2 linked regions of the Canis lupus familiaris genome follow. The protein of the gene in region 1 interacts with the protein of each later gene in a pairwise test. Links are inferred from orthologs where the notes say so. Each region holds a gene or a part of one and is shown in the gene's direction. Other genes may lie near its edges.

What was found. The genes of interacting proteins can lie anywhere in the genome.
Region 2: the proteins of MEOX2 (region 1) and PACSIN2 interact in binary tests that used the Homo sapiens proteins (3 or more experiments, as listed by UniProt). The two-hybrid records come from large-scale screens. The link is inferred for Canis lupus familiaris from reciprocal best matches to the Homo sapiens genes MEOX2 and PACSIN2.

Annotation. Positions count from the first base shown.
Region 1 is NC_049235.1:30,321,175-30,324,743, reverse strand, and holds part of MEOX2 (homeobox protein MOX-2), read left to right. Parts: intron 1-543; coding exon 544-716; intron 717-3,569. UniProt on the Homo sapiens protein: Mesodermal transcription factor that plays a key role in somitogenesis and somitogenesis and limb muscle differentiation. Required during limb development for normal appendicular muscle formation and for the normal regulation of myogenic genes.
Region 2 is NC_049231.1:23,600,394-23,603,771, forward strand, and holds part of PACSIN2 (protein kinase C and casein kinase substrate in neurons protein 2), read left to right. Parts: intron 1-801; coding exon 802-924; intron 925-1,377; coding exon 1,378-1,574; intron 1,575-3,378.

The DNA of each region.
Region 1 (3,569 bases):
AGAGACTAAACTTAAATAGAAATTAAAAAGTCAGTAAATACACACACACTTTTATGTATGCTTTGTCTGACCTTGAACTGACTTTTATGGTCCAGTTGCTAAACATTCAAATTGCTTAAATATTCACATATTAAGTCAACACTTTTTTTCTTAGGAATTAAAGAGTTCAATCATACCTAGATCCCAAGTATACATATTAAACAACTTATTAAACGCAATTTTACATCCGAAATTGTTTTCTAGAGGTGGTTTATTTATTTATCTTTTTATCATATTAAGAGCAAATACATTTTTTGTTCATATTTTGAAAGAATATTAGACACTTTGCCAATTAGGCTGAGTCACAGGAGAGCAGATCGAAAAAGTAAGAAATGTATCTTATCCTGTTGTGAGATCAGTCTTCTGTCTTTGCTCTCTGTTTCTCCATATCTAACATAGTACCTGAAAAAGTAGTTATTCAGTAAATGCTTCTGGTATGAATGATATGATTGTATGCATTTGAATGAATAAAGTCAATTTAATTCTCTCTTACATTCCCCCCAGATTCCCAGGAAGGAAATTACAAGTCAGAAGTCAATAGCAAACCCAGGAAGGAAAGGACAGCTTTTACCAAAGAGCAAATCAGAGAACTTGAAGCAGAATTTGCCCATCATAATTATCTGACCAGACTGAGGCGATATGAGATAGCAGTGAATCTGGATCTCACTGAAAGACAGGTAAAGTTGGACATTGTTGTGATATGGTATTTTTAATTGTGTTGAGTCAACAATCTTCTCTCGCCATTTTTGAAATATCTAGATCTGTGGTTCTTAAATGCCATTTGTAAGATAGGTGTTCTGTTCCATGATGAAGTTTTGGCACGGCAAAATGGCAAAATTAAGGATAAGATAGCAGTGTTTTTAAGGAAAACTACATTTATTCAGTTTAAGGTATCATTCTTTATTCTGTATTTGTGTCCTTCCTATATATTTTGGTTTAAAATAGTATTTCTTGTATATAATGATGGCATATAGTGAGCAATTCTTTTTTGCTTATATTTTAAAATCTCCTTATTTTGGTATAATAGAAAGCCAGCAACCCCATATTAGTTTCCTCTATTGCTCAGGACAGGGTTTGCTATGTTGCTGTAACACATTAACCCCCGGACCTCCATGACATAACAAAAAAGTTCACTATTTGCTCACTCTCCATACTAACTTTACAAGTTCAGCATTATAAACAATCAGTCACTCACGGACCCAGGCTGACTCTCTGGCATCTCAACATGTGGTGTCCTTGGTAACCACAGGAGGTAAGAAAGAGGTGGAGGTTCATGCACTGACCTTTAAATGTTTTCACCCGGAAATGACCCATGTCACTTCCATTTATACTCCAAGGTCCGGAAATCATCCGTGGTGCCACTTAAGTTCAAGGGGGGCTGGGAAATGATGGGAGCAAGGGCCCATAGGTCTTTCGTAAATATTTCCCAAATATTTTTGAACTGATATTGGTCTCAAAAATTTAAATTTCTGACATTGACTCATTTAGAGAACACTTTGCAATTATGAACGATCTGTGGACTCCAGTTGATAAAACCTAAAAGGTCCTTTCTTGGATTTTACTTGCTCCAGTAGTGCTCCCAGTGCATTCTTTTTATGGATTCTGATTTGCCCTGGGAGAATCTAGCTTACTGATGGTTAACAGTTGCTAATCTTTAGGAAAACATTCCTGAAAGGCAAATCCAAACATCTTTATGGACAGTGCAGTTATGATTGGCACTCCTAGGACTAGAGTCTCATTTCCTTTCACTGTATGCACCTCCTCCAGGGATCCCATCAGAACCAAAGAAATACCAACAGGGTGTGGACGTATGAATACTATCTTAGGAGAGCAAGTTATTTTATCCAGTTTCTTAAATCATCTGCTTTCCTTCTGTTAATTTCTGGATTTCAGCTTTTGTAGGGTATTTCTGGGGATTGGGAATATAGAGAGAGACACTTTTATGTGGTTTTATTTATTGGCAGTTTATATTTTATTAAATATTATGACTAGTGCCTAAGTTGTGAAGCACAACATTTTCTTTCCCTTGAACTTCACAGACAAACTCCTCTCCATAAGTGTACAACATTTGGCATGCTGGAAAGGAGAATCCAAAATCTACATTATTGGACATCTGTTTTATTTTCATTTTTTTTAAACTGGGAGCAGATAAAAAAAGAAGGGAGGGAAAGAATTACATATTTTAATGTTCTTATCCATAGACAGTGAATTCTAGGAAATGCAACCATGTTTTCTATGGTACAAAAAGGAAACAAGCTAAGACTTGTTTCCAAGCTATAGAAATAATGGGATGCAGTACTATACTCTTAGCCAAGAGGGAATGTGAAGATTCTGTGCTTGCTATTCTGGGGATGGCTTTGGTTACCTGTGATTATCTGATTATAAAGCAGAAGTTTCCCTTATGGTTTAAAATAATTTCTTTTAGAAAAGCAATTCTATAAATTTGGTCTGGCAATTTTTTAGGTATTTTGGATATGTCTTCCTGAGTTGTCATTTATGGAAAAGGATGATATGTAATTTTAAGCAAAATACACACACATACAATTCTAATCTTTGTTTTTGTTTATCAAAGGTCCCTTTTCAATTTTGTTATCAGTTAGCCTTGACTATGTAACAAACATTCAAAAATCATAGTGGTTTCAACTAATAACCGACATTCAATTTGCTCACAGTTTTGTGGGTCGGGGATTTTGACTGGGCTCAGTTGGATGGTTAAGCTGCTTACCTTACCTAAATCTCCCATAGAGCTGTAGTCACGTGGCGGGTTTGGGTTTGAAGAGCTGGTTGGTTTAAATAGTCTCAGCTGGGACATTTGTCTCTGTTGTATGTGGTTTCATTTTCTTCTAATAGGCTCTCTGAGACTTTTCAAATGGGGATAGAAGCATTGTCAGGAATAGAAGAAAAACTCCAATGGACCAAGGCTTTCAAGGACTCTCGTTATCTCATATTTACTGATGACTCATTGTCTAAAGCAAGTCATATGACCAAGCACAGTGTCAATGTAGAAGGAGACCATTTAAGGAATGGATATATGGAAGGAAGGTGACATTTGCTGGAGGCCGTTACCGAAATGATCTAACTATAGTGTCATAGGGGAAAAAACAAACAAACAAATCTTGAGATATAATTGGATTTTGAAAGAATTGAAATTTTATATCGTGAAGATTTTTTTATCCTATAAATCTTTATTTCCAGTTTTTCAGATTAATATGAAAAGGAGATGCATACATGTGGAATCTAAATTCCTAGTCAAAGTTAAGTCTTCAGAGGGCCACTATGTGACAGTGAGAAAAATTGAATTATTATGATAAAAATTTGAATAGAACAACTAGATTTTCCATTGGAATTTGGATTCTTAGGCAAGTAACAATCTCCCTAAGTCACAAAATGGAAATTAAAGCTAACTTCTCTTGCTTCTACTCAGGTTTATGTGTTATAATGAATATGAAAGAATTTCTAGCATAAACTGAAAAACACAACTGTCAATCAGAGGAAGGAAAACTTTTTGCCATTCAAGGCATAGTGAATTA
Region 2 (3,378 bases), on another chromosome or scaffold:
CTGGCCCCACAAGCCCCACCTTGCAGCTGAATTGCACGGTGTGGCGCCAGGGCTCTTACCGTCTTATTTTGTTCCACAGCACGCACACTCACTGCATCCTGGCTGTCGGCCCTCAGGCTGGGCCTGGGTCCGATCTCCCTCAGGTCCATCCCCTTGGGGCCTGGCTCACAGTAGACGGCTGATACAGTTATGCAGATGGATGTTCTCTCTCTGAAGCACAAAGGGGTCCTTCTTTCTTAGAAAGGGCTGTTTAGCAGGTTTGGGAGCTGATTTTGGAAGCTCTAGCCCCAGAAGAAGCAGGGAGGAGGACTTAGGAGCCTTTGTAGTTAGAAGGAGGGGAATGCTGCGCTGTGGGGTCTGGAGAGCTCCAGGAGCCCCTCTCGCTCTCAGCAGGGGGGCACTGAGCCCCACAGGCTGGCTGCCAGCTCCCAGCATCACAGTGCTGGCCACAGGCCCAGATGGGAAGACTGTGGGGAGAAGCCACAAGCCGGACATCACTTGTGCTCCGGCGGCAGCCTGTCCGCACCCCAGTCTCCTGTTCAGGATAGACCACACCCACAGGCAAGAAGGGAAATGGACCTGCTGTTCTCCTTAGACGCTTTAAATGTGTTTAACCACCCAGAATATCACTAAGTGTTTTTGCTAAAATGTTCTTTCTGCTCAAATGACAAATCCTCCTCTTGGGTGAGGAGCCAGTCTGCCCCTTCAGCCCCTGGCCCTGTGATCCTGCAGCTGGGAGCATCCAGGGCCGGAGCAGGGTGCTGAGCTGGGGTCCCCTGAAAGCTCTCTCTCTCCCCATAGTGACCTTAGTGTCCCGAGCAACCCCGCACGGTCAGCGCAGTCTCTGTCCAGCTACAACCCCTTCGAGGATGAGGACGACACGGGGAGCACCGTCAGTGAGAAGGAGGACATTAAGGCCAAAAAGTTGGTGAACAAACGTTTCCCTCTGGTTCCCACCTCGCTCGCTCTCTGTGTCTCCTCTCTCTCTATCCAGGCTCTTGCCCCCTTGGCACTCACAGCAATGCATGGGGCCTGCAGGAGGTGGCTCAGCTGCCGGCTGGTGGACGGTCTCTGGCTTCTCGATTTCTCAGGGAGGGGGGCACCTATTAACAATCTGTAGTTGTTCTTTCTCTGTCCTCCGTTAACCCTCGTCGAGGCCCTGGCACACCACCACAGGAAGACGGGTGTGCTGGGCAGCCCTGCGGGGAGCCTGACTGCACTGTGATGCTGAGGGGCTGTGCTCTTGCGGAAGGAGGTCCCTCGCCGGGCCCCGGGGCTCCTGCAGCCTCCCTGGGCAGGGGCTGAGCCTCCAGGCAGGGCCTCGTGCCTCTGTCAGTCCCATACTCAGGGTCCCTGGGTCCACCCTTTTTCTTGCAGTGTGAGCAGCTATGAGAAGACCCAGAGCTACCCCACTGACTGGTCGGATGATGAATCTAACAACCCGTTCTCCTCCACGGATGCCAATGGGGACTCAAACCCATTTGACGAGGACACCACCTCGGGGACGGAAGTGCGGGTCCGGGCCCTTTATGACTACGAAGGGCAGGAGCATGATGAGCTGAGCTTCAAGGCTGGTAGGTGGGCTCCCCGACTGGCACCTGGGGTGAATGCTTCCAACCTGCTAGGGGAGTTTTTTTTGTTTTGTTTTGTTTTGTTTTTAAGTTTGGGAAATTCCTGCTAGCTGCATCTGTGGGTCGTCCTCCAACATTTCAAAAGCAGCAGATGCTCAGTGCCAAACCTTAGAAGGCATGAAGAGTGCCCTGGTGCTTTTGCCCAAGGCACCAGTCCCAGCAGGATGGAGGGCTGGGCACAGCAGGGCACTGGGGCAGGGGATGTTCATCGCCAGCACCAGCTGTTTTCCCAAGTGCTTCCCAGGTGGAAGCAGCCAGCCTGTGGGTCCCCAGGGGAAGGTTTTCTCCAGAGACCCCAGCTGGCAGAGGAGCCCTTGGCGAGCCACCTTGCCCAGACCCCGGGACCACACTGAGTACCTCTGGGCCACTCAGCTTCATCTTTGGGTGCCTTTGAGCCTTCCCCCTGCAGCCACATGGTATACTTTCTACTACCGGCACACCTTTGTTGCCAGTACCTGAACTTCGTTTTACAGAACACTTTGCATCCAGATCATGGGAGCTCTGTGTACACAGACTCTCTGGGCTTTGTCTTTTTTTTTTTTTTTTTTTTTTTCTATGCTAGTTGCAATTCGCTAAAATGGGTTTCAACCATTAGCTTGAAAGCACTATGTTAGAGTGTGTCCGAGGAGGAAGCACAGGTGCCTGGTGCCAGAGGGGGCCCACAGAGAGCCAGGTCCTCCTGCCTTGTCCCCTCCTCAAAGCCATCCCAGACCCGCCATCACACCTCTGAGTGGGAGGCCGGGCTGGAAGGCAGCACGCACAGGCTGACACCCGCCCTGCACTGGGACAGACCCCTGCATTCAGCCGACTGTGGGCCGGAGGGCCGTGTCTGTGCCTATCGGCCTCCTGCCCCCCGCCCCTGCTCCACAGGCCGGGCAGCTGGCCTCAGACACTCAAGCCCAGGGTTGGTCACCAGGCACCCCTGTTGGTTGTAGGAAGTTCATATGCACCTGAACTCGACTTTGTCCAGGTTTTCTGACACCTGGGAGTCATTCTTCCCTAACTTCGTCAGTTGGTTTATTCATTGTAATTTCTAATTCTTTCTCCATCTTAGTTGTTGGATTTGTCTGCAGTTTTATGGATATAAATGTTTCTTTTTGCTCCAAGTGAATTGTTAAAAGCGAACTGATTCAAACCAATGTTTTAAATCACCAGTTCACATTTTACATCCTCAAAGCTCCCCTCTTCACTGTGTTTTGTCTCTTCTGTTGCGACATCCGCCCAGCCAGCACTGTTTTCTTCAGTTGGTAGCACGCCCGCTCCAGTGCCCTCTGCTCCTCTGGGTCTCAGGTGCCTGAGAAACCTTTCCCTGGGCCCTTTCCAGCCCCTGTGAGCGTCACAGAGCTCGGACAAGGGAAACACCAACTGTCCAGGGGTCCACAGTGAGCAGGATGGACAGGAGAAGATGGAGCTTTGCCCTCCCGTGCTCACTTTTGCCCCATGTTCACTGCTGGTGTTGCTGAGTTAGATCTGCATGGGAACCGGTGCTGAAAGAGTGGCCCGGAGGCTGGAGGAAAGCCATCCCTCACATGGGAGTGATGGCGGCTCTCGCTCACTGGGTGCTGGCCACTACCTGGCTCCTTCCCTGCTCTCACTTAGTCCTCCCAGCACCCGGTCTGCAGACGAGGAAACCTGGCCCCAGGGGCAGGGTATGTTGCCCATGAGCAGGGGCCCTGGGATTCGAATCCAGTAGCTCTGGATATCAGTCCCACAGGCCTCTTCACTTTAGCTGCTGTACCAAAGAGAG